Linked DNA regions of Diceros bicornis minor. The protein of the gene in region 3 interacts with the protein of the main gene of each other region in a pairwise test. Links are inferred from orthologs where the notes say so. Each region holds a gene or a part of one and is shown on either strand. Other genes may lie near its edges. The genes, in order: TRIM54, MIA2, CCHCR1 and C13H1orf94.

What was found.
Region 1: the proteins of CCHCR1 (region 3) and TRIM54 interact in binary tests that used the Homo sapiens proteins (3 or more experiments, as listed by UniProt). The link is inferred for Diceros bicornis minor from reciprocal best matches to the Homo sapiens genes CCHCR1 and TRIM54.
Region 2: the proteins of CCHCR1 (region 3) and MIA2 interact in binary tests that used the Homo sapiens proteins (3 or more experiments, as listed by UniProt). The link is inferred for Diceros bicornis minor from reciprocal best matches to the Homo sapiens genes CCHCR1 and MIA2.
Region 4: the proteins of CCHCR1 (region 3) and C13H1orf94 interact in binary tests that used the Homo sapiens proteins (3 or more experiments, as listed by UniProt). The link is inferred for Diceros bicornis minor from reciprocal best matches to the Homo sapiens genes CCHCR1 and C1orf94.

What each region holds. Positions count from the first base shown.
Region 1 is NC_080751.1:55,553,779-55,562,290, reverse strand, and holds the start of TRIM54 (tripartite motif-containing protein 54), read left to right. Parts: upstream 1-5,122; 5' UTR 5,123-5,612; coding exon 5,613-5,780; intron 5,781-8,512. Other genes in the region: DNAJC5G (dnaJ homolog subfamily C member 5G), read left to right, coding at 1,585-1,700, 1,997-2,210, 2,405-2,549, 3,067-3,122. UniProt on the Homo sapiens protein: May bind and stabilize microtubules during myotubes formation.
Region 2 is NC_080744.1:10,920,810-10,928,966, forward strand, and holds the start of MIA2 (melanoma inhibitory activity protein 2), read right to left. Parts: upstream 3,439-8,157; 5' UTR 3,424-3,438; coding exon 3,309-3,423; intron 1,196-3,308; coding exon 1,062-1,195; intron 1-1,061. UniProt on the Homo sapiens protein: Plays a role in the transport of cargos that are too large to fit into COPII-coated vesicles and require specific mechanisms to be incorporated into membrane-bound carriers and exported from the endoplasmic reticulum.
Region 3 is NC_080753.1:34,069,964-34,077,591, reverse strand, and holds the start of CCHCR1 (coiled-coil alpha-helical rod protein 1), read right to left. Parts: upstream 3,452-7,628; 5' UTR 3,257-3,451; coding exon 3,107-3,256; exon of another isoform or gene 2,805-3,106; coding exon 2,738-2,804; intron 2,660-2,737; coding exon 2,446-2,659; intron 1,173-2,445; coding exon 875-1,172; intron 1-874. Other genes in the region: TCF19 (transcription factor 19), read left to right, coding at 5,218-5,455, 6,559-7,117, 7,394-7,628. UniProt on the Homo sapiens protein: May be a regulator of keratinocyte proliferation or differentiation.
Region 4 is NC_080752.1:48,633,987-48,641,732, forward strand, and holds the start of C13H1orf94 (uncharacterized protein C1orf94 homolog), read left to right. Parts: upstream 1-4,427; coding exon 4,428-4,756; intron 4,757-7,746.

The DNA.
Region 1 (8,512 bases), on a different chromosome or scaffold from region 3:
TCAAATGGTTAGAAACAACTATCCAATCTAAATTATATAATTACATTATGATACATCCTCATGATGTAAAAGTATTTAAATGAAGATTTGAAGAACCGTAGTGACTTTTGGACTTCTTGATATCGTTTCAAAAGAACATGAGAACTAATAATTACAATATAATAGGATAAATGCTTTCGCAGAGTAAGGTGGGAACAACGGGGGGAATGAAGAAAGGATTCCCAGGAATACTAACATTTGATGTAGGTCTTAAAGGATATGTAGGAGTTTCCAGGTGGAAGAGAAAGAAAGGACCAAGTGGAGACTCCCAAATTCTGAAAAAGAAGACTGGGAAGGCAATACACCTCTTGAGAAAGGCTTGCAGAAACCATACCTCTCATACAGCACAGTCTGCAAACCCATTATCTTTCTGTGAGTGAGTCGATGCGCCATGACTGTGATCAAGACAGGCGACCCCCTCCCATTGGAGAAGAAGGGATGCCCCTCGAGGCTGCGCCCAAGGGTAGGGCTGGAAACGAAGCTCCCCCGCCTTTGGCCGCTCGCGACCGGCGATCCCCCACGCTCAGGCTTCCCCCTAGTGAAATAAGTCCCAGGGCTCGTAGCCTCACCTCCCAGACCTTCCGGCGGCGCCAAAAAGCGCCCGGAGTGTTGATGCTGCGCGCAAGCGCAGTCGGCGGTGGACTCCGGGTGAGAAGTTTCACGCCCCGATGGAGGTTGTATGAGGCCTACCCGGCTGAAGAGAGCGACTCTTCAGGTAAAGCGCCCGGCCGGGTGGGGAGTCCAGTCAGAGCCAGCGGGGACCTGGGGAACCCGAGCACTCCCGTCGGAGCTTGCTGCCTTGGTTCTCCTGGGCTACAGCCTCTGAGCTCTCTCCCACTCGGAGGTTCTGCTCCCTGTTTCCTCGCTCGTCGGCCCCACAGCTCCCCCTTTTCGCTTCCTTCTTCGTCTCTTGAGCCATCCCTCTGTTCTGCCCACTGCCCCGGCTCTGGGGGGCGAGGGTGCGATGGTTTGAGAGGGCAGGCTGGGGGAGGAAGGCAGTCGGTGGCCCAGCGGCGAGCATTGCCCTCTGTCCTGGCTTTTGGACGCCTGACTTCTCTTCGGCAGCTCGGCGTGTGGTCTGAATGGCCTCTCCCGTGGGGACTGTGGCTCCCTGATTCCTGAGCCGCCTATTAGGGCGGAGGCGCACTGCTCTTTCAGACCCAGCAGTGAGCCTGGACAGGCCCAGGGCCGTTTCCTTAAGCTACTAGTAGCTCAGGACAAAATCAGTCTCTCCCCATGGCTTAGACCACCCTTGCGTACACCTCTCTAGAATGTGGGGTGTCTGGAGGTCTGTGTAGCTGAAGGATGCTGAGAACTGTGAGGAGAAGACGTTTCCTCTTTAAAATTTGAATTTGAACGTCTTTTCAGGTCGCCTGCACTCTCCTGCTAGTCGCAGATCCCACTCACTTTGTCTTATACTTGTCCCTTTGGAGTCATTTACCTGCCTAGCCCCCGAAGGCAATGAGCTTCCTGCCACTGGAAGTTCACTTCTCCGTGGCCTCACCTGTGGAGTTTCTCACAAATATTTCTTCTCCTCTGACCCAGATCATGTCTCATGTGGATGAAGCAGCCCGCCGGCTGTCCAAGAGTGGGTCAACCCTCTATGCAGTGCTGGAGCTTAAGAAGGGTGCCTCACCTGAAGACATCAAAAAGGCCTACAGGTTCAGACCTCAGCCCCTTATTAAACCCTGCAATTTTCCCCCTTAAACCTTTTTCTTTCTACCTTGCTTTCTGACCCATTTTTAAATCCCCAAGCCTTCACTTTGGGGCCATTCTCCTCTTCAGTGTGGCATGGGAAGGAATTTAGACTTGGGCTGCTTGCCGCCATCCTTTGTACCATGTCCCATGCATTCCTTCTTCACAATCTAGAGACCTGTCCCTGTCATTCATCCTAACCCTCCCTCCCCAGCCATTCCCCATCCTCTCTCCACCTTCCTTTTGGGTATTGCCTGGGTAGGAGACTGGCCTTGAAGTATCATCCAGACAAGAATCCAGGGGACGCTCAAGCAGCAGAAATATTCAAAGAGATCAACACAGCCCACTCTATACTGAGTGACCCTAAGAAGCGGAAAATCTACGACAAGCATGGCTCATTGGGAATATATATACATGATCACTTTGGCGAAGAAGGCGTCAGATACTATTTTACGCTGAATAGTTGTTGGTTCAAGGTACACAGTTCCTCCTAGTCCCTTAAGAATAAGGAAGGAGGGGCAGCCCTCCTCTTGTAGGACAGCCGACCCTCCCTTCCGAGGACAAATGCTTCAACTGTCTCATTTTCTGGGTCCTGGGAGGATTGAGGGAGGGGAGTTTGAATGGAAATATAGAAGAACTGCTGGACTGAGACGCTTCTTTCCTCTTTTAGACACTTGTCCTCCTGTGTGCTCTGCTCACCTGTTGCTGTTGTTGCTGCTGCTGCTGCTTTTGCTGTGGAGCACTTAAGCCACCACCTGATGAGGCTGCCAGGAGAAAATATCAGCAGAATGTCCAGAATCAGCCTTCAAGGTCAGGTGAGAACCAGAGACGGGGACTGAGGTAAGAGCTGGGTTAGGAATGAAAGAAATGGTTGGTGACAGAAATGGTTGGGGGTGAAACTGTGAACCCCTAAATATTGGAATCTCAAGTCAGTATTGGGGCAAAGTGAAGAAAGAGAAGGGGATACACTTGGTTTCTGAGGGGCTTATGCCACAAAGTGACAGTTTGAATGTAGTGTTGGCCTCTCATGACTGTTAAGCTAAGGAAAATGGAGTGGGAGTTAAGGTAAGGAATCAGGTGAGAGAGTCTGCCTAGAAAAGGCAGTAGTTGAAGACAAGTTAGAGGATGCAGCTTATTGTGTTTACTCAAAAGGAAGATGAAGTGTCTGAGATTATCCCCACCCCCAAGTAGTTAAACTTGGAAGTGTGGGTTTACTGATGTTCACACCAGTGCCACCTAGTGATGCTAGTGAGTAACTGCAAGATAACAGTTTTCTCACCAGTAGAATTGTTACTAAATGTTTATATATGTGTTTTTCAAATTCCATTATAGGAAACAAGCAAAGTTTTAGAAAAGGGGAAGATAATGATAATGAAGATGATTATTAAAAGATGAAGAAGAGTTGAGGTATGAAAACTGAAATGCAGCAGTAATTAAAGGACAAGTGGAAAGTTTATATCCTTATAGTATGGATTACAGATGTTTATATCCTTACTTAGAGTGGTTTTGCTTTAAATTCTGGGTGATCATTCCTTCTAGTTCATAATATGCCAACTTCTTCTGCCCATAGGTGCTGACCTAGTGAGAGTGCTTCTGCTGCCCAGTCCACTGGACACGTTGAAGAAAGGAGCAAGTAGCCCTGTCCTGACATTGACCCTGATTTGCCCCTCTTCTTGTAAGAATCCCAACTTCAGAAGCATTGATGGAGTTGATCCTAGTGGGGATGCCATCTCTGTCCTTGATGGTATCACTGACCCTGGTGATACAGGGTCACCCAGCTACTCTTCTTTTAGCTCCAATTTTAATCTGTTAGAGAGCAGCCCTCCCATCTCTACCCTTATGAGGTCTCAGGCAGTGGTGATATAGACTTTTCCTCAGCATTCTTTTTCCTGTGCCTTCCTTGAGATTTGAGCCAATGTTAGCTGGTAGGGTCTCTGAGCCACTTGCAAGATCTCCACCAAGATCCTGATACTGAGCAGGGTGGATCCTATCCCAGAGCTGCTGTGCCAGCTAACCCTCCTTTGTTACAACTCTGTGTATTAAGAACTCTTAGCATCAGCCTCATTCCTAAGCCAGTACACCTTTCTGGGGCTCATCTCACCTTCTTCTGGTGCCCATGCACTTGGCATTGCCAGTGTCACTCCATGCCACCATGAGTCACCTCAGGAAAAGTATGAATGCATTTGAGGCCTAGGGGTGTTTATCTCACCTTTGGATTCTCCCTGGACTGCAACTACCAGCACAGCGCCCATTAGCATGGGTCCTGTGGGTTGACTGAAGTTCATGCGTCAGTGCCTGCTTTGCCTCCACACTTTTTACCACGTCTTATGCCGGCTGATCACCATATATTTTGTTCTTAAAGCAGGGGCATGAAACGTGATAGGGAAAATACTGTACTTTTACAGACCCTTTCCCCACTCGTGCCTCTTCACACTGCCTGTTTGGTATCCTCTCCACACCATTTATTTCCTGTCCACCCAGGGTCAGAGCCTAGTAACTCCTCAAAATTCTCTCTCCTGACTGGGAGAAGGGCAAATGAATGTCAGTAAATAAAAGAGTTTTTGTCAAATCCCAGTGCATATGTTGGTCCCAAAAAAGACAAATTGTGCCTGGGATGGAGAAAAAGTCCTGTAGGAGAAAAAGACAGAAGCCCAGTGCTCACACGTGAGACCAGCCTGCTTTGGACAGTAGGAGTCTGGGACAACTATGGAGTTGGGGCAGAAGGTTCCTGGAGCCTTGTGATTATGACTTTGTCAGACCTCTAAAATTTCCCTGGAGACTGATTCCCCTGGTGCCCAAAATAGGTTCCTGGTATTCAGGTCCTGTCTGCCCAGCTCAGCTTCTCTTGATTTCCTAACAAATTTAAAGTCCTTGGAGTGGCTCCGGTGATGTTGTCATGGACCAGAATCCCACACTTTGTCAGGGGCATGCTCATGAGGTCGTTCCAGGCCCTGGCTTCCAGTGCCAGCTTCCTGAGCTGCTTTTCCTGGGGTGATATAAGAAAGGTCTGGGCAAGAACAAAAATGGACCAGAAGTGTTGGACCAGAGCCTCTCTCTCTAGTCTCTGGTGCCTCTGTTCTGAATCACAGGGGTCAGAGGAAGAGGGCCAGGGTCACTGGCTAAGCCTTGGAGGCAGAAACTTTCACTGACAGTCTGTGAGTCTGGCAGTATCTTTCCTCCCACCGTGAGCCATGTATGGTGCCTCTCATCCAGGCTGATTTAGATTCTGTGTCACTGCCCTGGAAGAAGGGCCCAAGCCAGAGCCTGGGAGTCAGGGGCTCACAGGAGCCTTCTGAGTGGGAGAGCAAGTGAGAGCCTGACACCTTTACTGCCCACCTTTCACCCTAAGCAGTGAAGCTCACCCCTGCTCTTGCTCAAGGGAGTCACCCATTACTGAGTGAGTCAGGGTCACTCACTCAGTGACAGCTGTGGCTCGCCTTACATGAGCTAAATTGGGAGTTGGAATGTCACGCAGATGCCCCTTGTTCCCCACCCCCACGTTAAAGTTAATCTCTCTGGGGAGTGAGAGACAAACAGTGCTGCCCATAGAGTGAACAAGAGTCATTTGGGGAACAAAAGGAGAAATTTCCAGGGACAGAGTCATTCAGGGAGGGAAGGGTAGATAAAGCTACATGTGCCTGGCTGGGGTACAGAGCAAAGAATAGAGAGACAGAGAAGTGTCTGAAAACAGCTATCTAAGGACGAGGTGAATTGTTAGAGGAAGGGACAGGAGAGATAGCAGAGCTATTTCAAGAGTAAGCAACAGAAGGGAACATAAGAATCCACAGGCTGTCTGAAGTAAGCGAGGAAGGGTCCAGAGGCAGTGAGACAAGGCCAGGACCAGGGCCAAGGCCAGGATAGGCACAATCACTGAGGGGATGAACTTCACAGTGGGTTTCAAGCCGCTGCTAGGGGATGCACACAGCATGGACAACCTGGAGAAGCAGCTCATCTGCCCCATCTGCCTGGAGATGTTCTCCAAACCGGTGGTGATCTTGCCCTGCCAGCACAACCTGTGCCGCAAGTGTGCCAACGACGTCTTCCAGGTGGGCCAGGGGCGGGGGCAGGGCCAGGTAAAGCAGTGCAGACTTGTGGGGGACTTCTCATCAGGTCAGAGCTGAGACCCCGGAAGGTGATGGGCAGAGTATTCTATGAGGTGGGTGGTGGCTGTCCTGGTTGAAGAGCAGAAGAAGAGCCAGGGGTCCTAGCAGATCCCAAAGTAAGCATGAGTCAGCAGCTGCTCTGCAGGCTGGCAAGTACAGCCTGTGCATGGACAGCAGCTGGAATGCTGGTATCTACAGAGGAAAGAAGACCCGCATAGAGCTGGGAGGGAGGTGATCCTACATCAGACTGTACAACAGTCTATACTAGACTCTGCATCCTTGTTTGGAGTTTCGGGTTTCGAGAACAATACAGAAAATCTGGAGAAAATAGCAATGAGATAATGAAACATTAAAAAATGAACCCTGTGAGAAAAGTTCATGATGACAGTGAAACTATTTGTATTTAAGGCAAAGCTCAGCATATCCATCTTTTGGGGGCAGAGTTAGACAGTGGACAGGAGACTGGGAATTCTCCCCAACTAAAGCTCAGGCCTGTGCCCCGCTCCAGATTGGTCAATAAAGGGGCCTGCTGGTTAAAAAGGATTGAGGTCACTTCAGCAGAGAAGGCAGACATGAAATTTTACTTCTCAGAAATATAATGAGTTTGGGTTTATATGTGGTCGTGGGGCAAAGCATAGCTAATCAAATTCACAGATACCATTTTAGCTACTAGTTTCAAAAAGAAAAGCAGCATATCACAGAATGGTTTATTCCTGAGCTTGCTTTCTTGCCCTGTGCCACTGGTGTAGGCTCTAGTAATCTAGAAAAACTAGTAATATAGAAAATGGAACAAAGATCAGGGAGAGTGAGGGGAAAAGACACACACACACACACACACGCAAAGATCTTGCAAATGAAGTAAAAATTGACTAGACCAGAGCTGGCTGGCTTAGTATGCATGGGGCAATAAGGAACATCATGAACACATATTCTTCAGCTGTATCAGAAATTATGGGGAAATGTGTTGAACACAAGTGATTTTTAACTTAACCAAGAAAATATTTCCCTTTTAAGTTCTTTGTGGCAGCATGTTTGGGGGAAAATAATGGGCTAGCTAAGTCAGGCCATCCTCCAGCTGTGCCCTGTGACCCACACTTTGTCTCTCTACTGCCTGCCGTCTTCACTGAGTGCCCAGCCCCATAGTCTTTCCTGCCATCTTCACATCAGGGCCCATTCCCATCTCCTATTCCTCTATGTGTCCAAACCTGCCGTTATTTGGCTCCAGAGTATCTCAGAGCCAGTGATTTTCCCTTTCTGGAGGCCTAGACTGACTGCTATGCCTGCTTATTCCAGGCATCAAGTCATGTAGGAGAGACTATGCCTTGCCCTCCATCTTGGTTTTTCCCTTGGTCTGAGTAACTCTCTGAACATCCTGCAGGCTGAGATGCCTAGAAGGGAATGGCAAAATGAATTTGTAGTGAAACTTTTCTTTCATTAGAACCTGAAATATGTGAATGCAAATAGAAGTTTTGAAAGTGAAGGTAATGTGTCCTGTAAAAAAGTGGTCAGAATATTCAAATGCAAGGCACACAGTGTCATCGGGCAGAGGGATGCAGGGACAGGTCCTGAGTATGGAGGCTAGAAGATGTTTAAGTGACCTTCCTTGTTCAAGCCTGTCCTCTGTATCAAGGCACACAGTTTCGGCTCCTTGAAGCTCTGGAATACTGATCTGGGCCCAGAGAGACCTGGGAATGGGTTGGGTCAAGTACTGTGCAGAATATTTGAGAGATAACATGATTCCCAGGGATGGCTTGGGATGGTTCTGTGGATCTGGACTGGTGGGTATCTTTTAAAGTGCAGAGCACCTCTGGGCCCTCCAAGGAGAGAGGAGGGAACAGCTCATTCCCTTGCTGCTTTATTTGGGACGGCCTGGTGGGAGGCTGACCCAGTTCTTCAGCTGCGCTTATGTATATACATCTCAGTAAATCTCCCTCTGAAAGATGAGCATATTTAGTTTTTTCACACATTGCCTCCACATTTTGACAACTCTAGGCATAATCAGATAGTCTGTTTTCTAAGTATGGGGACAAGAATAGGACTTTTGGTTCCTCTATGTTAAAACCGCTTAGGAAGAATACCCTTAGGACATTGCCTAGAAAGTTAACAGGACTTATAAAAGTGACACCAGTATATTATACATATTTTTTTTCAACCAGTATAAAGTTTATATCAAGAAAAGTGAATCTTCACCTCGGGCACTGAATTCCCTTTTCCAGATAGAGGTAGCCATTGCCAACTTTCTTGGGTATCCTTCCAGAAATTTTCCATGGATAGATACGTGTGTGGGGTGTGTGTGTGTGTGTGTGTATATATAGTGTGTGTACATATATATATATGGTGTGTGTATATGTATATTTAAACTAGACTCCTTGCCCTACACCTGTCTTTGTTCGCTTACTCTCGCATGGTGGTTGTTCCATATTCACACATTCAGCTCTGTGTCTTCCTTTTTAAATGGCTATATAGTGTTCCATTGTTATGACTGGACTACAGTCTGTTTAATCAATCTTCTAAAACATTTAGGTGGTGTCCAGTGTTTTGCTGTCCTGAAGACTGCTGTGATGGACAACGAGAATTTTTGGGAACTGTGATTTTATAACATCAGGTTAACTAGAGAGCCAGGAAGCAAAATTTGAAAAGTTAAAACATTTAATTGAAAATGTTAAACAGTATTA
Region 2 (8,157 bases), on a different chromosome or scaffold from region 3:
ACAGAGGCTACACAAGGGAGAGATGTGAGGTGTATTCAGTATGGAAATGATGTATGCATCAGGTTGGTCATGCTTGTCTAACTTGGAAGTAAAATTGTTTATCATGGCATCTTTTCATTATAAAGCATAACGATACAATCAAAGAGGCAAACCTATTTTCAACTGAAAACATTAATCATTAATTTTCCTGTGTTTACATTCACAGACATGATTCAAACTTCTAGGAATTTCAGTGTAATAGGAATTTAGGCCAAATAAAAGTCTCTCCCAGTTGTTCTTTTTTCCCATGAAAAATTCATATACCTCACTTCCCTAGGCTACTAATCTTTCTGAGGATCTCTTCAATAGCAACTCAGTCCTTCATTTGCTCAGAAACACATGTCTTTTAATTTGATTAACTAAAACTTCCCAATCTCCCTTAAATTTGGCCATTGGCAGCACCAAGGAATCCCTGGGGTTGCCTAGCTATCTCATAATCTCCATCAGTAACTCTGAAGTAGGTAAATTTACTCTCCAAGTAAATATAAAATCTAAGTTCAAAAACCACACATGCTATGTAAAATAATTTCAAGGCATTCTTAGTCCTCCATCCCAACCAGACTGCTTTCCCAAAATTCTGCTTTTATGGAAATTCTGGAACCAACACTGAATATGACCATTTTTTGCTTGTTTAAATATGTTAAATGTTATATACCTATATATATACCTATATATCACTTTGAAATTCTTAAAGTTTCTTTTTTTGTGTGTGAGGAAGACCAGCCCTGAGCTAACATCTGATGCCAATCCTCCTCTTTTTTGCTGAGGAAGACTGGCCCTGAGCTAACATCCGTGCCCATCTTCCTCTACTTTATATGGGATGCCTGCCACAGCGTGGCTTAACAAGCAGTACACGCCTGGGATCTGAACCAGTGAACCCCAGGCCACCACAGCAGAGCGCGCGCACTTAACCACTTGCGCCACCGGGCTGCCCAGGAAAGTTTCTTTAGGGATGAAAAGCGAGCATCCTTGTGCAAGTTGGTCATTTATTCTGCATTCAATTTTTAAGACTAGATACTTACACTTCCTGCCCACAAATCTTCCCTTTCTCCTGCAAGTTTAATATAAACAGATATCTCTTCTCCCTTAGTGAAGTTCAGGTATCGGCAGTCAGGTCCTCTGTAATCTCTCAAGGCTAAGACTCTGCTTATTAAAGCTATGTAAGAAAAACACAAAATTTAAATTAAAATGTCATTTCTCTGCCTCCCATCTTGCCCTCCTCCAATCCATCCTATGTATTTCCAAATGCTAATTTCTTCATAACATTTATGAACTCAAAAACCTACATAGACTTCCCGCTGCTCACAGAATCAATTCTAAGCTCTTTGGCTTGGTATTCAAGGCTGTCCATAACCTGCTCCTTCTTCCCCACTTAAAATGACTTCCTCTTATTTCTTTACAGTCAAGCTCATCTATCCATTGTCCCTGGAATGTGTCGCTGTCATTCTCGTCAGTAGGGAAGGGAAGGAAAAGATCATTAGTTTTCTCCCCAGCACCTACTATATTCTAGGCATTATGATAAGCTCTTTCCTATCTTTATTTTATTAAATCCTCAAAACAGACCTATGAGGTAAATAATCTCATCTTAGGCTAACACATGAGCCTTTAACTACGTCTTAGAGGAGCCAGATTTGCACTGAGGCTCTCTTCACTCACCATCCACGTTCCATATTCTGTGCTTTTCTTTCTGCCCCTTCAGTCTCTCTTCAGGGTCAACTCATATCCTACTTCCTCTATGAGACATCCCTAATCAGTCCAGCCTACTCTGCCCCTTCTCTGAACTTCATTCTTTTTTTTTTTTTGTGAGGAAGATCAGCCCTGTGCTAACATCTGCCAATCCTCCTCTTTTTTTTGCTGAGGAAGACTGGCCCTGGGCTAACATCCGTGCCCATCTTCCTCTACTTTATATGGGACGCCGCCACAGCATGGCTTGCCAAGCGGTGTGTTGGTGCTCCCCTGGGATCCGAAGCGGTGAACCCCAGTCCGCCACAGCGGAGTGCGAGCATCTAACCACTTGCGCCACCGGGCCAGCCCCTGAACTTCATTCTTATGTTGTATCACTATTTATTGTTTCATATTGACCTGTCCTGTCACCATTCACTAGAATGAAAATTCTTGGAGGGCAAGAAACTTATATTTTATTTTCTTCTTCTTAGATCAAAACCCCCCAGCCCCTCAGACCCAGCACATGACAGGCCCTCAATAACCATGAATGATCATAACCACATATGCTAGATTTAGGCCTTTAACACATAAAGTAATATACATACCATATTAACTATTATAATTATACTAACATATGTAAAACATTTTAATTAAGTCATGCAATTAAAGTTAAAATAACATTATATATTACTATAAATTTGAATGTTCCCTTTCCATGTTCTGTGTCTGGCCCTAAGGAAACTAAAATGAGATTGTAAAGAGGGAAAGAAAGATTATTATTATTATTTAAAAAATCTAGTAAACTTTCTCTATATATTACATTACATATCCAAATGATTAAGGAAAATGTTTACTCAAAAAATTTACTTATAAATTATTTATGTTTATACTAATAATATTTTGCACTTTTAATTTACATGTTGCAAATTAGAAATAATTCTCACATACCGAAGAGATAGAACATATTTAAAGCAATTTTAATATATTGGGATGCTATTCATTCTGCACCATAATGCTAATAACAGAAAATTAAGTTTTTAAGCAATAAAATGAAAATTAATTTCTCTTGGTAAAATATAGAAGTTTAATATTCAAGGATATAAATAAAATTATGTACTCCTAACACTAATTTCAGTATTTTTACTTAATAAGTAGACACAGAAATGATTAATGTTTGATAAAATTTAGACAATAAATCACAATGGTTTGAAATAAAAACATTTTTAGAAAACTAAAAAATATAAGGGCTTCATAAATAAAGAACTATTAAATGGCTTGATATCTTTTTTAATGCAAATCAATTACATTTATCTTATAAAACAGTAAAAGATCTGATTTGTGTGTTTTTGAGGTCTGGATTAATATTTTTATAATTTCTGATATATTTATGTACCAGGCTGATCTTTGCCCCTTTGTATATTTGCATTAAAAACTATCACAAAATGCTTTGCCTCCAGCATTTCCTTTTTATAGTGAACCATACTTTATAATTGCAAATATTTTGTAACGAATTAATGCTCATTTTTATCATACATGTCCACAATAACATTTTATGTCATTTCAGAGCCTCAGTTTAAGAGGGAAAAAAAAGCAAAGCAACTTACTTTCACATTCCAAGTCACCACATTTTTTAAAGTCGGCCAGCAGTTTTGTGCCTTCCAGACACTTTGTCAGAGAAATAATCAAAAGGAGGATTCTGTGAACTCCCAGCTCCGCCATGCTAAAACAAGCAGGAACCCCAAACAAGGTTTAAACCGACTGTTTAGGCTGTAGGTCCGCCAGCCCAAACAGGAGACATCCCACTCTCTTCACTAAATACAAGAGAAAGGGGTTTGGTTCTTTTTAATCCCTTCGTAACTACATTTTTCTATCAGTGTTTAGGCTTACCTTGAGAGAAAAACACTCTCCGTTCTCAATCTGCAGTGTCAGGTATCCAGATAATACCTAAGGGTTTAATAATTAACAGAGATTTTTAGTTGGACTCACGTCTTACAAAGGTGGCCCATGTAACACTGTCTCCCTTAAAGGCACCTGGCATTCCGCAGGACAATTCCTAAGCAGGCCTCCACAAAAAGGCAGTTCATTTCTCTCTTCAGGGAGCTCGGTCAAAACGTACAAACTGAGTGTTTGCTGCATGCAGACACCAGCATCAGTGGAGAAAGTATATAGTTACATGTAGAAGCAGTAATCATTTATGTTAAAAGCATGGTTTTGAAATATCATGATGAAAGTTATTTGAAAAAATATCCCACTTTCATATTTTAAAAATCTTTGGTGTTATTACGAAGTTGAAACTTGTATTTAGTTAAGAATAATAGTTACGGGGCCGGCCCCGTGGTCTAGTGGTTAAGTCTGGCAAGCTCTGCCCCAGGGTCACAGGTTCAGATTCCTGGCACGGACTGACACCACTCACCAGTGGCCATGCTGTGGCGGGGACCCACAGACAAAATAGAGGGCGATTGGCACAGATGTTAGCTCAAGGCGAATCTTCCTCAGGGGGAAAAAAAAAGAATAATAATTAAAATGTAGTAAGTACTTATTATGTCCCAGCTACTGTCTTAATCACTTAATCATGTGATCAGATTTAACCCTCACACCAACTCTCTAAAGCGGGTAATATTATCATCCCCATTTTTGCATATGAGGAAACTGAGGTACATAGAGATGGGCTAAATCACTTGCCCAGTGTCACACAGGGAGTGGAGAAGAATTTAAACCTCAGCCCTGCGACTCCCCTTACTCATAACCGCTGTGTCTTACCACCAAGAATCAAGTCATCTGCCACAGAAAGATGTCCACGCTCTCTGCAACAATGCTATTCCAGGAACAGCAAGTACAGGCTTATTCCATATTTAAAATTGCATACATTTTTCTGTAGGTGGAGAGAATGAGAGAGATGTCTGAAAGAATCTTCCTCCATACGGTAGGAGTACACAGTGTGCTTTCAAGTTGTATTCACTTTCTTCTTTGTACTTTTCTATATTGTTTGACTTTTTTAAAATCAGTGAGGATGTATCATTTTAAAATAACAGTAAACCTATGAAAATCACGTTATTTGAATGTTATTATGGTTTACAAAAGGGATCAAAGCCCTATATTGGGAATTTTTGTGTAAAACACTAGATCTCAGTAGATTTTCAGAAACCACAGTTGTCGTACTTCACTCTTGAGAAAATATTTTTCTAAGCCTTTTTTTGCTGTACCCTCTCACTGTATCTCAGGCCTATCAGCGTGTAATCGGTTTACAGAATGCAGCCCTTGTATGACACCACACCTCCCTCTAGTGCCTGACATAAACAAGACAAATATCCAGTACCTGAGCAAACTAAAGTAAAGGACTTTTGCTTTCAAAGTCCTAAAAAAGGACGTGTGTTTTCTGTTTGTTTGTTTTCCAAAAACAATAATTAGTAGGAAGCCTGCTTTCTCGGATCAAAGATTTTTACGTCCTTAGGATCTGATAGAGCATGAATTTGAGGATCATTGGCTTGCACTCAGAGCACGGCATAGCTGTGCACATCCACACTCAAAAAGATGTAGCTTAGTTTCTTGAATACTTTTGCAAATCTATAGGCTATGTCGTCAAAGACATTTAAAGAAAGATTAGCTCTTCAGCTTCAAAATTTGGCACAGGGTTATTAGCATAATTTATAACATCAAATAGAGAATATTTCATAATTAATATACTTTATCCTTTATTGTATTCAATATTAAAGACATTACAGCTCAATTCTGCACCAATTAATTTAGTTATATTGTAAGTTAAGACAGAGAAGAACCCAGATAAATTTAAATTTGTCTATTGATTGGCCTGAAGGAGATTTGAGTCAAGAAAAACGAGAAAAATTGTTGCCTAAGATAGCAGCCTGGAGAGATTTGCTTTTATAGAAATGCTCCCACTTTCTTGCTACTTGATGCACTCAGATGATCTCATTCCATGTTTAGATTGTTATTTAAATATATCCTAACAAGATATCTGAAAATGTGGTAGCACAATGGTAACTGTATCCAACAGACTCGGATGAAGAGGTGATGGAGGAAGGGATAAGAGCATTTAGTTTAAAGAAACCAAAGTATCGAACTTTCACTATAACAACAGTCATGTTAATTTAGCCAGGTATTATCTAATTGCTGATGCATTTTTCAGATCAAGTGTTGTGTCAATATTAAAATATAATACTGCTGCTGAGGAAGATTTTATGGTAACAGTCAGGAATACTGATTTGGAAAGCCTGTAGCATTCTTCAGAAACCATACAGGAGGTAAGAGAACCTACTGCATAAAGCTAAAGAATGAATCATCAAAGCCACATATGTTCAGTATCTCAGCAATAGTATCACAGAGCAACCCTTTCCACGAGAATGTAAAGATATCATCACCAATGCTGCACTTCTACTGCTTGGTAAGGTTATTTCTGACTCTGTATAGTACTGTCTTCTCTCTCAATACCTCAGATTTCCTGAAGTGGGAACATATTTCCTTCCACCAGCTGTCTGTTAGTCTGGCAATTTATAAGATAGAGAAATTTGATTAGAAGTTGCTTGGGGAAAGCTGAGCTGAGGAAGCCAGGGTGTTTTTTTCTAGGGAGGGGGCACTAGGACAGAGCCTTTGGAAACAGTTCCCGTGGCAGACAGCTGTGCAGTGTGAGATCAAGCCCAGGAGAGACTGAGATTCAAACTGGTGTGGAAGACATGAAGGTGGCCCCCCACGCTCCCTCTTCAAGAAGAGGCTTTCTGCGCAGCTGCAGGGAGTGCAGTTAGCAGACAGCCTCCCTCTGGCAGCTACTTCAAGGTCTGCCCCAGCTGCAGAGAGCCCCCTCACCCAAGATCGCCCCTTCCCGGTGATCTAGTGAATTTGGTGAATAAATGACGAGAGAGTACAAAGGCAGGGCTGCAATGGCAGCCTGATGTGGGCACCTCTCCCTCCAGAGCTCCTGCTGGGTTGACTGAAGCTTTGTAGAGCCTGTAGTGCAGTTTGACTTCCCCCTCTGCCCAGTCCTGCTGTCTCCCTCTTCCTTTCATAGGGGTTGATCCCTTGAATTCCAACTCTGTTTCAGCCTTTACTGCGAGAGGACCCAACCTCAGAAGCTAGTGATCCACAGGTGCAAAAAGAGGAGACGGTAGAACACGCACATTTTGGCCCATCATTTGTGCTAGTCACTCCGTGGCTCTTTTTACCTTTGCTGCTTTTGTGTTGCTGAAGGCCGTGTTTCAATTCTGCCCACTTTTTCTCATTCTGTCTGTATCAGTCAGAGTTCTAGCAGGTAACAGAAGGGTATTCCATTTTGAGGGATGGCACTCCTCAACGATTGAGGAGATTTTAATGAAGGACTATTTACAAAGGTGTGGGCAGGGTTAAGGGAAACCAACAAGGGATGTAACACCCCCAGGCCTGAAGGAACGGTGTCCACTGCCTGGAGAGAACTATAGGAGAGAGCTGCCTGGCAGGAACTTGAAGCCTTCGGTAAAGGAACTCAGACAAGAGAACCTCACTCTTCTAATTTCTGATCTGATGGTAGCACCCATTGACCAAACCCAGCCAGATGCCAGAGAATAAGGGAACCCTTTGAGGCAGTCCTAAGGTCTGTGTTCCAGGGACACAGAGCAGAGTGGCAAAGAGTGGAGAGTGGATTGGGAGGAGCAAAAAGAGAATACCCCACACACTGTCATCATTCCTTTACTATGTATTTTTGAATAATAGCATGCAACATCCTCTACATCCAAGATGATATCTGTGTGATATGTGCAGATCAGGGGACTGAATTGATTACTCTCATCAATGGGTAAGAAAGAAATTTAATGTTTGTTGAGCACCAACTTTGTATCAGTGTATGTATTTCACATACACATCTCATCTTCCAGGATGGGCTTTATTTACTGAATGCCTATGATGTGTCACTCTTCTAGGGACTAGAGGTACAGGAGTGAACAGGACAAAGTCCTTGCTCTCATGGACCTTGCATGCAAATGAAGGGAGACAGACAAGAACAAGCAAACAAATAAATGAACGAGATAATTGCAGGTACTGATAAGTTATTATGCAGAAAAGTGTCTACTTAGATAAAGTTGTCAGGGAAGGCATCTCCGGAGAGCGACATTTGACTTAAGAGGAGGGAATAGGAAGGCAGACATTCTGTGCAGGGGGAAGAATTAACGAGGAAGTCGTACTTCATTGTCTGAAGTTTGATCGCCAAAGATTTAAAGAAAAAATGAAGGAGGCATATTGGATGCATTCCAGTATGTCAGAAACAAGGCTTAAAGGTGAAACTAACAGGCATATATAATCAAGAAACATAAAGGCAGATGGAGAGTGGTAGGAGATGGAGTAGGAGACAGACAGAGGTCCAATCATGCATTTTTTGTGGAAAAGAGTGTGAGTTTCATTCTAAGTGCAGTGGGAAGCCAGAGGAAGCTTTAAGGAAGGGAATGACATTATTTGTGTCTTTATCATACAACT
Region 3 (7,628 bases):
TGGTTTCATTTCTTAACATGTCGACTGGTTAGGGTGGCCTTCCCCAACCCCCTACCAGGTGAGAACTCCCTTATCTTTCTCCTTCATGGCACTTCTCCCAATTGCAATGAAGTAGGATTAAATTAAGCGTTGAATGTACATGTCCCCAACTAGGCTATTGGCTCCACCCACACGGACTCAAGCTGATTTGCTCACCCCAGAGTCCCAGCTCCTGTCTCAGGGATGGCAGAGTCAGCGCTGATAAAAGGTTGTTGATGGGGCCAGCCCGGTGGCACATCGGTTAAGAGTGCGCGCCCCACTGCGGTGGCCCGGGGTTCGCAGGTTTGGATCCTGGGCGTGCACTGACACACCACTTGTTAAGCCATGCTGTGGCGGCGTCTCATATAAAGTGGAGGAAGATGGGCACGGATCTTAGCCCGGGGCCAATCTTTCTCAGCAAAAAGAGGAAGATTGACGTTGGATGTTAGCTCAGGGCTGGTCTTCCTCACAAAAAAAAAAGGTTGCTGACTGAGTAATATTCCCTTCCCAGTCCTCCTTAGGACCCCACTCCCAACTTTCTCACCCCTCCACCAAGGCTCCCAGGTGAATTGGGTACCTGGAGCAAAGTGGGAAGACAGATTACTTCCTACTGGAAGGGGAAGGAGGGCTTCAAGTGGTGTGCGGGTCACCCGAGTCCTGGGAAAAAGTGCAATCTGAGTAAGCCCAAAACACCCAAGTTCTCCCTCTTCCCAGGTCACCTGTTTTTTCGCCTTCACCAAACATCTTCTCATTACTCTACTGCTCATGGGGCCTTCTGGGTGATACCTGTTCTCTGCTGGGAAGCTACTGCCAGTTCACCATTTTGAAGGTAAACCCTTTCCACCCCCACATTCACCTGTTCTTGGTGCAGCCTCTGAACCTCCTCCAGCTCCCGCTGGTTCCCCTCTTCCAGGTTCTTCCGGACAACCTCGGCCCCAGCCAAGGCAGCACGCAGGCCCTCGGCCTCAGCTCGGCCGGCCTTCTCCGCCCGTGCCAGAGCCTCCAGCTCCATGGCCTGGGCCTCTAGCCTCATCTTCTGCTGCAGCGAGGTCTCCCGCAGGACCCGGACCTCCTCCTCAAGCCGCCGCAGCTCTTGCAGCTGCCGAGAGATCAGCTCAGCCTGCTGGCTCAGGGCCTGCGACCCCTCTATGGACCTTCAAAGACAGATTAGCACAGGTGAGACATGTCTCTGGTGCTGGGAGAGTGGCCAAGGGCATAAATGGAGACAGAAGGAGAAGAGGATCCTTCTGTTCCCATGTGGGGAGATGAGGGGGATGAAGCCGGGCCATGGGGATCTCTGCATTTCCCTCACCATAGTCATTCATCGAGGCCCTACTAAGCACATTAGGTCCACTGTCTGGGCTCACAGGACCTAAAGGCTTGCTGAGACCATAGAACGTGATCTCCCTAGAGAGAGCCTATATACAGGCAGATATATTAAACATCTGCCTGTGCACATCATCAGGCCACACATTCTGAATTGGAGAGGTTGGAAGAACACACAGAGGCTTCTGAATTCCGATTTAAGGGCAAGGAAAAGTTTGAGGGAGGTGCAGAGAAAGAGAAGTCAAGGCTTCCAGTATCAACATGGTGCGGCCAGGAGCTAGTTAAAAGCATTTATTGAGTGTTAGGAGGAGTCTGAGAGAACAGTACAGCAATAAATTGCAAAGTTCCGACCTTTGGAGAACAGAATCAACTGGTGTCACATAAAGTTTAAACCAGTATAACAAGGCTCTTGACACAGCTCACTCACTGAGGCCCAGAACCACGGAATTTTTTTTTGAAGTGGCAGGGATCTGTCACTTCAGAGCCTAGAGAAATTAAGTGACTGGCCAAAGGAGCCCCAGCTGGTAGCCAAATGAGCAACAGAAAGTCTCTGTCTCCTGACACCCACTCCAGTGTTCCCCTTTCATCATCGGGCTCCTTCCTCTTTGATGGGGTCCAAGGTAGACCCATCTGCAATTCCACTCTAGGGCAAAATGGCAGAATGACATTCCAGGACATTTGGGAAAAGACACACATGAAACATCAAGAATTTTTATAGACAGTACACCTACAAATAGCATGGCTACCTCCAATGGCATGTACTCTGTCAGAATGAATCCACATACCACAGTACAAGCTACACTCCTTCACACTTCTTCATCTTGCCTTATACTATGTTTATTACAATCAGCTGTTGGTCAGTCTCTCTCTTGGGATTTTAAATTCCTTGAGATAAAGATCTCTCTTATTCATTTTTGTTATCCCCATCCCTAGCAGCTAACACACTGCCTTATTACTATTTATTCATTGTAGGCACACCAATAGTTGCTTATGTAAAAATGAACAAATTATGGAAGGGCTGAAACAGGGTAACAAATCTATTTCAGTGAAGAAGGGTCACTGGCAAGCAAGCCCAAGAAAACAGTGACAGTGTATCCCTACCTGCCTCTCTGCCCTGGCTCCTGCCCATTGTCAGAAACACCTCGTTCCCACATGATCACTTGAGGTCTCTGGTTGTCTGGCCGCCTTTCTGAGACATCTTGATGGGCTGGGGGTTGGAGCAGGGGAATGTCTGAGACCCAAGTGGGAGCCATTCTTGGCACAGTTGGAAGGGGCCGAGCTTGGAAGTGGGATGGGGGAATCAGCCCAGTGGAACCTGAAGAATCACAAGGACAAAGATGGTCAGCTTCCCAGGGAGAGACAATCACCAGTCCCCTTGCCAGGTCCCACTGACCTGAAGGTCGAAACATCTCCACATTATTTGAAGCCTCTAGATTCAGTGTCCAGCCATCTATGTTCCCCTGGACAATAGGAGAAACAAGGACACTCCAATTCAACTTTCAGGCCACCTTCCAAAGAGAAAGCCCCTACAATAACAAAGTCATAATCCTTAAATAAAAGCCAGGTCCACCCAACCCTTAGCTCCTCTTTTCCTACTTCCCAAAAGAAGTAGGAAATACCCAAAGATCACTTGCTTGACCCAACCTGGTTCCTGACAGAACTATGGCAATTACCACGAGATGGAGGGAATTTACTGAGACAGGCTGAGAGGGAGCTCTCTGAGGCTTTACTCATACTTTGGGGATTCTGGGAGTGACTTTACCCTCCTCCTTAAGTTTCTACAGTCTCTGCCGTTCCTGGTCGGAGGTGAGAAAGGAGGTATGCAGTGCAGGGGTTGTGAGCCCAATCTCCAGAGTTCTCTCCATGGCTCAGCAAGGCCTTGGGGAAGCCCATCCAGACACCACCAAGCCATGCCTCCTTGGTCCTTCCCTATTAAAGCTCTGGCCCCAGGCCCAGATGAATGTGGCTACATGCAGAATAGGATGCCTCCCCAGGACCTCTGGGAATCCAGGCAGCCTAGATCTCTTGGCAGAAAAGCCAGCTTCCTGACATCTCATCCAAACCCTTCCAACAACTTTCCTCTCAATTTCTCTCTACTATCCTCTCAGCTTCCATTCCTGTCACCCACCCTCCCCTCTCCAGAGTCCTAGAGCATAGAGAGGGTGTTCAAGGTCTCCCCACCCTCCCACCCGAATTCATCTATTTTCGCCCCGCCGATCTGGGATTTCTATTCCCCTCCCTCCCTACATCCTAATCTGCTTTTTTCCTGAAGGAATTACTCTGCTCCCTCACTCGCACCTTCATCTCTCAACTCAATAGCCTGCTCTCGCCTCCCTGCACTCTAGCCGGCTCTCAGTTCTGCCACCCGACCCCCACTCCCTCAAATACCCTTGCGTCTTCACCCTGCTTGACCCCGAGCTCTAAGGCTGTTCCGACCACCTTACCCGTTCTTTTACCCGGCCCCCTTACCCCACTTCCCCTATGGACCCCTGAACCCACCCTCGCACCCCAGCTCAGCCCCTTCCCGCCCCCAACCGACACTTCCAGAATGCCCCTTACCCAGCGCGAGAGCCCACCTCTGCCCTTTGACCACACCCCCTACACCTTGCTCCCGGGCGCGGCCTCCGCCCCTGACCGCGCCTGCGCAAAGCGCGCAGGTTGGCGGGCCGCTCTAAAGCCCGTTTCACCCCGGAAGGAGGAGGGGAAGAGGTGCACGCAGGCGCAGTAGTGTCTGAAGCCGGGCCCAACTAAGGCGTTGGGGCAGCTCCGCGCCCCGGCGGCTCCTCCCAACTCCGGGAACCCGGGAAAACTTGTGAACTAATCAGAAAAAGCGGAAGGCGGGAGATCGGAGAGCCTCCAAGCGCGCCGCCCAATGGAGAGGAGGAGCACAAATGAGCCGGCCAATCAGGAACGGCACGGGGGGCGGGCTCGCTCGGCGCGAAGTTCGGGCCCGGGAATTCCAAAGGCGGGGTCGGCGCTGCCCGCGCGCGGAGGCCGCGCCCCTCCTGGCCCCGGCTTCCTTGCTGTCAAACAGCCGCGGGAGCGCCAGCGCCGGCCGGAGCCCGAGAGGTCCCGGGGCCGCCGAGAGGCTGGCACTGCCTGGAGGGGAGACCCTGCCACTGCACCGCGCGGTAATCCGAAACTGGGCTGGGGCGGGGAGGGAAAAGACTGGGTTTGCCTTGTATGATCTCCGGGAGCTCTTTGCTCTATTTTTATCCCACCCGGAGAAGCGGAGGTTTAGATCCGCTTTGTTGGAGAACGTAAGGACTCGTTTGCACTGCCTTTAGGGGATGACAGTGGATTCACTTTCCCACTGGGGTTCAAGCTAACTAGTTATGAGTGAGGTATTGGCCAGAAGAGCAAGGCGCGGGCAAGCAGGAGGATTACTCCATTTGGATAAGCAGGTCTGACAGGAAGAAGCTTCTTTTCTCCAAATTACATTGAGGTGACAAGCTAACATTGCACAGGAGCAGGAACCCCCCCCTCATACATACATCTACAGTGTATTTCCCTAGACGCTGCCTAATGTATGTTGCCTTGCACAGATTGAAGGCTCCCCGAGTATTTTGCGGCCTGAGGATCCGGTTCAACTAAGGTGCCATAAGACGTGTTGGTTTTTGCACTGCACCGGGACCTTCTCCGAACTTTTCAGTTGCAAAGCTGCTTGACAGCCAATTTTCCATCGTGTGCCTAGGCTCCTTGTCCTCTGAATTTGCACCATTCAGGGAGTGTCCTCAAAGTTGAAATTGCACAAAGCACAGCTCAAGTTTGTATCAGACGGAAAGTAAACTTAGGCCGGCCATGCATCACCCAGGAGTGGGAAAGGTGATGGATTCCTGAAGTGGAAGAGGTGGTGCGGAGGGGGCACCGCCCATGCTGCCCTGCTTCCAGCTGCTGCGCATAGGGGGCGGCAGGGGCGGTGATCTCTACACCTTCCACCCCCCAAGCGGAGCTGGCTGCACCTATCGCTTGGGCCGCAGGGCCGACCTGTGTGATGTGGCCCTGCGGCCCCAGCAGGAGCCCGGCCTCATCTCTGGAGTCCACGCGGAGCTGCACGCTGAATGCCGGGGCGATGACTGGAGGGTCAGTCTGGAGGACCATAGCAGCCAAGGTGAGCAGTGAGCAGGGCAGCCTTGCACCTAGGCAGTTGCAGTTCTGGGCTGGAATGATTAAGGGACTCCACAAGGACCCTTCCTGCCTCCCAAACTCCCCATCAGGTTTGATGGACAGCTGTAGTCCAGACCTGTCTTCCTACCAGAAATGTGCAGTGTCAGACACTCTGCGGGGCTGACCCTCGATGGCCCGTTTAGCTCATACAGGGACTGGGAGGTAGATCCAGGGCCTGGGGCATCATCAGGAAAGTATCACAGTGGGGTTGTTCTGGGGCATTGGGATCCAAGCTAAGACTTGACTCAGTTTCCAGATTTGCTGAGGCATCTCGTTCCTGTCTTAGGGCCGTTATGATATGTTGAATTATGTTTTAATGATCTGGGCATATGTCTTACTCCTTGACTTTGGAGATAGTTACAGCCAGCCTCAGAAGGCCTGACTTCACATCTGAGTTCTGCCACTGGCCGCTGGTGGCAGACCTATCAGACCTGGTGGCCCCCTCAGACCTGTTACTTCTCCTCTCTGGGTTTCCTCTTGGGTAAAATGTCTTTGTGAGGTCTATTTTGGTGTGTGGTAGGGGTTGGATAACAGTGGTAGCCAACATTCATGTAGTGCTTACTATTATGAACCAGGCAGATTTAAGTGCATTGAATGTAGGTGGGCATGAATATCATCCCCATTTTATAGGCGAGGGAAATGAGGCACAAAGAGGTTAACTTGTCCAGAGTCACATAGCTGGTAAGTGGTGGAGCTAGGATTTGAACCCAGACAGGCTGAGCTTTGCTGATAGTAACTGTTGAGTTGGGGCTGTTTGAGGGTGAGTATATCTGAGAACTGGACCTCAGTAGAGTGAGGGGAGTCCGCTCCCTCTATGTGCCCTGAGGGAGGGCATAAGAAAAGTAAATCTTGTTCCCAGCTCACAAGGAGCTTAATCTCTGATATCACCTGCTGAGGTACTTAGAATGTGAGAGAATTTGATGACAGGTGTCAAGTTCTTCCTCATATTCCCCAGAAAATCAAATGGGGCCAGATTCCTCCCCTCCTGACTGACTCTGGTCATTTCTGTTTTGTCCTTCTCTGTGCCTGGTTGCCCACCATCAACAGGGACTTTGGTCAATAATGTCCGACTCCCAAGGGGTCATAGGCTAGAGTTGAGTGATGGTGACCTTCTGACCTTTGGCCCTGAAGGGCCCCCAGGAACCAGCCCCCCGGAGTTCTACTTCATGTTTCAGCAAGTCCGCGTCAAACCTCAAGATTTTGCTGCCATTACCATCCCTCGGTCTAGGGGAGAAGAGGGAACCAGGGCTGGTTTCCGGCCCATGCTGCCCTCCCAGGGGGCTCCACAGCGCCCCCTCAGCACCCTCTCCCCTGCCCCCAAAGCCACGCTGATCCTCAACTCCATCGGCAGCCTCAGCAAGCTCCAGCCCCAGCCCCTCACCTTTTCCCGGAGTGGGGGTGGGCCACAGAGCCTGCCTGTTCCCACTCCCCCTGGGGAAGTGGGGACCACCCCTTCTGCCCCACCCCCAAGGAATCGCAGGAAATCAGCTCACCGAGTGTTGGCAGAACTGGATGATGAGAGAGAGGGTCCCGAGAGCCCTCCACCAGTCCTTACAGAGCCCAGGAAGAAATTCCGTGTAGAGAAAACCCCACTTACACCTAGTGGGTAAGTAGAGAGATCTTTGTCTTAATATTTCACTGCCTTTTGATTCATTTTTAGAGCCCCAGGCTGGGAGGTGGCCTTCAGCTCAGGGGAGGGAGAGGGGGATGGGAGGTGGACAGGAGTGGAACAGATGTTGGAATGGCAAGACCTGGGTTAGCTCTACTAACCAGGTTCACCATTAGTCTAGTGAGTCTATCTAGGTTCACTTTGATTATCCAGGGGACAGTTCTAGGCTTCTACAGTTTCTAGTGACCCTGGTTTTTGTGTCACTTTCTTCAGAAATCGACGTGGGCGTCCTCGGAAGCACCCAGTGAGCACCCCCATTGCTCCCCCCGCAGTTGGGGGTGGGGAGCCCTGTGCAGCCCCTTGTTGCTGCCTGCCCCAAGAAGAGACAGTAGCCTGGGTTCAGTGTGATGGTTGTGACGTCTGGTTCCATGTGGCCTGTGTTGGCTGTAGCATCCAGGCTGCCAGGGAGGCCGACTTCCGGTGCCCAGGGTGTCGTGTAGGCATCCAG
Region 4 (7,746 bases), on a different chromosome or scaffold from region 3:
TACCCATGGCAAAAAGTTTTCAAAAGCAAAATGGCAAAAATCCTTTCAGTTTGCTTTTACAGCCAAAAAGTTATGCTTATGGCGAGAGGTGGATGTGTTTAAAATATGTCAGATGAAAGATAGGACCTACAAGAGTAAGCTGGCTTAGGGCCTAAGAAGATCTAGAAAGAGCACAGGCGATGCCCACCTTTCTGAATTCTCCAACCTACACATGTTTGTGTCAGTGATGGAAGGCAGGTGAGTAGAGGTTCGGGCTGGAGAGTAGGTAGGAAAACTTCCTGGTTTTCCTGGTTCCAAATAGAAAAGCAAGAATCCCAGAACCCTAAATAATGGTAACTAACATTCATTGGGTATGTAGCATGAGCCAAACTAACTACTCTAAGCACAGTAGCATGCATTATCTCAGTTGTCACAAAACAACTCTATGAGGTCAGTATTTTATTGTCTCTGTTTCACAGATGAGCAAACTGAGGATAAAGATGTCAAACAACCTGCCCAGGGTAATAGGGATAGTAAGGGATAATTTAAGAATTTGTCCAAACTAAAAATAATTCATAGATGAAATGGTGTCCATGACTATTGAGTGCTTCACTTCAAGCTCTAAAGAAGTCAGGAGACCACACCTGTCTTCAAGGTTCTGTCTTCAGCACCTTGGACAGTACCAGGCACATGGATATATATGCTGGAGAACTATAACTACATGCTTAACAGAAGCTGGAGTATGCTCAGTTTTTCCCACACCTGCTATGTACCAGGCACTTATGGAATGCTTTGATCCCTTCACTAGCTTGTGACAGTGTCTAAGCTAGAGGTCTTATTCATCTCCCAGCCCTGAGCCTTGTACAATCTTGGCCCATGGTAGGTGCTCAAAAATGAAAAAGCCTAGAAAGGCTTAGTTGATGATTTGAGTCCATTCCTCCATCGCAGAGCAATTTCCTCAGCACAGCTAAAGTTCTCCCTCCCTACACAGAGCACAAAAGCTGCTATTTAGAAACTCCAGTGGCACACATTTCAATGTAATCAACAAGGAAACTAACATACAGCATTTTTATGTGTCTCTTATGTGCCAGGTGTTGTTCTAGGGACTTTCCATGTGTTAAGTAATTACTCAGTAATAGACATCTATAACAATTCTACAAATCAGGTGTTCTTTATTATCATCCCATTTTACAGATGAAGAGACCAAGCTTTATGAGCTGAATGGTGTCCCTCCAAATTCATATGTTGAACTCCTAACCCCCCATACCCCAGATAGTGACTGTATTTGGAGATAGGACCTTTAAAGAGTGGTTAAGGTAAAATGAGGTCATTTGGATGGGTCCTAATCCAATATGGCTGGTGTCCTTATAAGAACAGGAGATTAGGAATCAGACAGGCAGTGAAGGAAGACCATATGAAGACATAGGGAGAAGACAGCCATCTATAAACCTAGAGAGGCCTCACAAGGAGCCAACTCTGCCAACACCTTGATCTTGGACTTCCAGCCTCCAGAACTGTGAGGAAATAAATTTTTGTTGTTTAAGTACTCCAGTCTGTGGTGGCAGCCCTAGAGAAGCAATAAACCAAGGTACAGAGTACCTTGCCTAAGCCTACATTGCCAGAAAACATGAACTCAGAATTTGAACCCGGGTAATCTGGCTCTAGAGTCTAGGTTTTGTGATGATGTGAATGTTCTCTGTGCTGTCCAAAATGGTAGCCACAAGCCACGTGTGGTGCTTGAAATATGGCTAATGTAACTAAGGAACTAAAATTTTAATTTAATTTACATTAAAATACAATTAAAATTAAAATAGCCACATGTGGCTAGTGGCTACCGTATTGGATGTAGCTTTACACTGTTTCTAAGTACTTCACTTAAGTTTTTTGCAGAATCTTCTAGAAATCTCAGCTGTGCACTCCAAGAAACGTGTCCCTATCTTTGTTCCCTATCCCTGCTGTATTTTATTTTTTTGCGTTCCTTTCTAATTATCCCCTGTTGCCTGGTGTCCTGCTGAAGGGGAGAGAGAATGGGAGAAGGAGTGAGCGAGCTGGCTAACTCTCCAGAATCCCGTGGCCTGGGCAGTGCAAGGTCGTTGGCAGTCTGCTCTAAGCACAGGTGTTAGCCAACCAAATGCCAAGCCGCACAAACACTGAGTGACATTTTCAGAACTATTAATATTTCATCAGAAATGATCACTTTTCCTTTAAATACACTACCTTAAAAGGTTTTCTACATTCTTAACTATAATTTTATTCAGTCTAAGTCCTCGGAATTTTCCCCAAAGGAACACATCTTCAATTTTATAATGAAAATCAAAGGGGAGTGAAGCTTGAATTTCAAAATTTAGAGTCAACATTTCCAGGAACTCCAGTCCTCTGTAAAGAGCAAGGTTGTGTATTGGGCACCTACTGTATGCCAGGCACTTGGCATACTGCATACCATTGATTCACCCAACACACATTTACTGAGTGCCTACTATGTGCCAGAAATTTTATCTTCATTATAATTTATTAGCACCATTTTACAGAAAAGGGTTCCTTCTCATCCTGTTTCATCTCCAATATTACTTCCCCAAAGAGGCCAGCCTGGAGGGCCATCTAAGGCTGCCACTGCTCCCTCCCCACCGCCTCACTTTGTTGGTTAGTTTCCATCAGAGCCCTTATTTCATCCGTAATTATTGCTATTTCCTTGCCTTGCTGGTTTGTGATCCATCTCCCTCCCTAGAATATGGGCTCCAGGAGAGCAGGGAGTTTTGTTCACCTTCCAGCGACTCACCTGGCACAGAGGATGGCTCCGTCAATACTTGGGGACCGGATGAACGCATGAGCATGAAGTTAAGACAGTTGTTAGGGTCACACAGCTCCGAAGTGGCAGTATCGGGTTCAACTCTTCATCTATGGACTGTCATATCGTCTATTCGCGGCCATTCTTCTTTCTTCTTTCCCGTCCTCTTGCTCTTCCTTTTCTGGGGAAACACCGGAGGAACAACCACTGACTCCTGTGGCCAGAGAGCCCCGGGCAGGCGGAGGGTCAGTTCCGAGATTAACGGAGCCTCTCCAGTGACGGGGGGAGCCCGCTGGGCAGCAAACCCTAAGTCAGCCCTTCTCTCTGCACCTCGGCCCTCGACCTCCCCTGCTACCGCGCCGCCCACCCCGGCACCCGCTGACCTCTGCGCAGGGGGGAACGGTCTATCTCAGCGGCTGAGAGCGGGATCAGGCCTGTGGGCCCGGGTTTGAATCCCAGCTCCCCACTTCCTTGTGGGCCGTGGAGACACCCCTTTAGGACTCTGAACTCGGTTTCCTCTAATGGACAACGACAATAAACAATGGTACTAACTTCATGAGCTCGTTAGGATTCAACATGACCACACAGGAAGCCCAGCACTTGGCACAGGGTAAGCGCCCAGTGAAATGGCAGTTGGGGTAAAAACAGGGGAGCCAGGGGCAGGGCCCCGCAGGGCTGAGGTTTGGGCGGAGTGGCGGCGGAGCGAGGCGGGGCGCGGCGCCCTCGGCTTCTAACAGGGGAAGGCGCTCTGGGGTCCTCCGGGCCCCCACCCCCACCCCGCCGGAGGGCATGGGGCACCGAACCCGCGGCGCCCCGCGCACCGAGCCGTTGCGGTTGAAACCCACAGAAGGAATTCCAGCGCTGGACGGGAAGGGTGTGGGAGCCACTGGCTCGCAAATCGATCCAAGCCGCCCGGCCCGGCCCGCCTCGCCGAGACGGCACCCTTTTAAGGCGTTGGGACCCTTCCCAGGCCAGTCCCAGGCCAGCGCGGGGGGCGCGGCAGGCGCCTGCTGGGGGCGCCGACCCCGGGGGCTGCGAGCGGCTGTGCGCTCGGCTCACTTCGTGCGGGGGCGGCCGAGCGGCGCTGGACAGGGGCCGGGAGGGGCAGCGGGGAGAGCCAGCCTGCCCGGCCGGCCGGGGCGGGGGCCGTTGGCCCTCGGAGCGCGCGGGCGTCCCTGGGAAGACCGAATGAGACTCTAATGAAGGGCTCCGGCCTGCACGGTGCCTAGCACAGCGCCAGGCGCTCACCCGGTCCTCCGCGAGGCTTAGCGGGCGAGAATGGGCTGAGCCCCAGGCGCCGCAAGGTGTCACGGGCCTGTCGCAACGGGGCAGTGCCAGGGACCGTGGGGAGAGCCCGCCCTCCCCCTCCAGCTGTTCCCAGATGTCATCCTGCCCTTCCAGGCTCCTGGTTCCTGAGCTCAGGGGGATTCCACGGTTACTAAGCTACTGGTTTTTGTTGACTTTTAAATATTTTCTTCTAAGGGAGAGGGGGAGGGGGGCAAAAGTCAGGAAAGAGCAAATAAAAGCAAATCGAAATAAGCTCCTCTCCCCAAAGGAAAGTTGTCCTCCATCCACCACTCACACACAAATCGAAGGCCTCTGAGCACACTCATCTTGCTGGAGCAACCTGCTTCTGCCCCATCCTCATTTCCCTTTTTGGTGAATGAGGGGTGGTGGTGGATGGTCCCCTTGTCTTCGAACCCTGGGTGGACAAAGGGGCTTCCGGAAAGAGAGGAGGAGGATGGCCAGTGGGAATGGGCTCCCTTCATCGTCGGCCCTGGTGGCCAAGCGCCCCTCTGCCCTGGGCCCATTCCCCAGATACATCTGGATCCACCAGGACACGCCCCAAGACAGCCTCGACAAGACTTGCCATGAAATCTGGAAGAGAGTCCAGGGCCTGCCCGAGGCCTTGCAGCCCAGGACCTCGAAGGAGCAGCTCTCTGCCCCCATGGCTGGGACTCCAGGAGACAACGTGCTCAGCTTCCAAGAAGAGTGAGTGTCCCCCAACATGGTGGGCATCAAAGGAGGAGGGAGGAGATGAGGTCTCACCTTCTGGGGGAATGTTCTGGCCCACTGTTTAGTCTGGTTCAACCCTAAAGGCTGTATACTTTTTCTCCACCCCCATGGTCCTTTGGCCAATTTTTATGGGAGAGTTAACTGGGGTCCTGAAGTTACTTGGGTGACAGGCCAGACTAGGGCTGAATTTTTGCTGCCTCTTCACCAGCCCACAAGGGGACATTTCTCATCCTTAAGTCATAGGCAACTCAGATGTAGACCTGAGAACCTTGAAAAACCACCTTAGTCAGGGCTGAGCATTAGATATCACAGTTTTCCCACAAGGCAACTAAAAGATCCTTCCCCCTCCTGCCTCCAAAGGCTAGGCATTGGCACAGATGAGTCTGGTGGTTTTAAACCACATCTGGAATTCCCTAATACAGGGAGCAGCTGTCCCATTCAGCATCCACAGAAGCTGCTGCAAGAGCACACATCAAAATATTTACTGGGAAGGCACTGACATATTCAGAGGACATAATAGAAAATTAACGTGCGGGAAGATGGCTGTAAATAGCCCATTTCCTAGTTGGGAAATCCTGTGTCTGGGAAACACAGAGCTAAGTGTTTCTCCGCCGGGGCAAAGTTGGACAGATATTGTTGGAGATGGATATTTACAAGGAGAGGAAGGAGGGACCTCGTTAGGAAAAGCAAGTGAATCCGCCATGGTTATTAATGTCACTGTTGAGCATTTGTTCAATGCTTTGCATCTTCAAAGAGGGCTGCCAGCATTAATTAATCCTCCTGAAGTCCTAGGAGGCAGGTATTAGTGTCCCCATTTTACAGATGGATTAAGTGTTAATAATTAAGTGGTAATTAAAGACTAAGTGATAATTAAGTGTTGCCTGTTCTAACACATGCTCCAGCTCAGTTCAGAGATGCTCTGGAGTAGGGGAACCATTCAGGCAATTATCAGCTGGTCTGGTTTCAGGGAATTCTATGCAAGAGCAAGAGGACAGGCAAAGGGTAACTGCCGCCCAGGTCTGCACGACCTGCCGTCCCTTTTCAGGCTCACATACTTGCTGCAGATGAAGGTGGAAGGCACCTTGGCTATTATTGCCTCCCCTGCCCTGTGCTCAGCAAGACATGGCTGGGATGGGAATGGCCTTTCTGCAGCCAAAATCCCACTGTCCGGCCCTCCAGTGGTATTGAGTCCCTCTCCCCTGCCCATTGCCATCTGCTCTGGGATGGGCCCTTGTCAGGGGGCCCGTGGGGCTGTGCTCAGCTCTCAATGGCCAAGGAGTTGATTGTCCACTTTGTGGAACAAGGGGCAGTGGCAATTTCCAGTAGATGGCACCATCTCTGCCAGGTCACACTGAGTTAATGGAGACAGCCTCTATTTCCAGTTCGCACTTGGCCGAAAAGCGACCTGGCGCACCTTTGGCCAGTTGCTTAACTCCATTTGGCCTTGATTTTTTCATCTGCAAATTGAGGATGATATGCCCTGCCTTGTCCACCTCAGAGCTGATAATGAGGATCAAATGTGATGAGAGACAGGAAATGGAGAGCTGCATTATACAAATGAGGCTGTCCCTAAGTGTAATTCTCAGGGTTCGGGGGTTTTTGTTGTTGTTGGCTTCAGTCTGGGGTTTTCACACTATGCTCATAGACCCTAGGGTGCTTCAGAGGCCACCCTAGAGTCAAGTGGCCTGATTGCTGGGCCCCATGCCCATTTCAGTCAGAGCTGTTTGGCTTTTATGGGTTTTACTTACTGGAGTTCTAAGTAAAGGCTGCGTTTGAAAAAAGAGTTTTGCTACTGAGAAAAGAGCTGGGAAACCACTGACTTAGATGAATAAACGATATCATAATCGTGTAGATATCAACCGAGTAGAACACAATGAGCTATTCTTGAAATAAAGGCAGCTGCGATGGTGCAGTCAGATAACTCTGGTTTCAGCTCGCATTTCAGCCCTGCGCCAGCTGCAGGATTTGTTTAATTTATGTGAGCTTTAGTTTCCTCATCTGCCAAATGGAGATGATTGCTAGGCATTTCACAGGGTTGTTGGGATGATTAAATGGGATATTTAAACATTCCCAGTAATAACTAGGATTTGTATAAATTCCTTGTAATAATGATGATGATGATTTCTTTAAGCCCTACAATTATTACATGAGGTAGGTACTATTTTAAACTGCCCCTCTTTCTACTTTTTATTATGCAAATTCAAATGCATAAACTAGAATAGTATAGTCAATGTCTATGTGTCCATCACTGAGTTTCATTAATTATCAAATTTGTGCCATTCTTGTTTCAATTCCTTCCTCCCCTGTTTTTAAATAAAATCCTTTTCACAGATGAGGTGATAGGATTGGAGGGGTTAATTTCTTTGCCTGAAATCCTACAATTAGGAAGTGGTAGAGTTTCAGAAAGCAAACCCAGGACCTTAGCCACTACGCGACAGCGTTGGCTATCTTCCCCTAGAAATTGAGCGTCTTTTTGGATGGTCAAAACATTTAGCAGTCCCACATTCTGAATGATTGCACATGGATAACAGATTTCAAATCCAGGGAGCTGTCCAGCATATTTCTAGGATGGCTTCAGACCCACAAGACACCTCTCAGCTAATTTTTCCACTGCCTAATTTGCAGACCTGGTTTTGATGATGTTTTCTGCTACCTGGGTGGTTAGATAAATAAGTTCTAGAACTCTTGTTAGCCAGAAATTTTTCTTGACTCTCTCCCTATATATCATGGAAACCCAGACATCTCAAGTTTGAAAGGGATCTTGGAGGCCATCTTCTGCTGCTTGAATCCCATCCTCAACGTTCTTGCCAAGTGGTTATCCACTTGCACACTTCCTTAGACAGGGAGCTCACCACTTCCTAAGGTAGCCCCCTCCCTTGCTATGGACCCTGAGCATCAAAAGACCATTTCCTTCCTGTACTGAAATCTGTCTCTATCAAACTAATACCCATTGATCTAGATTCTGC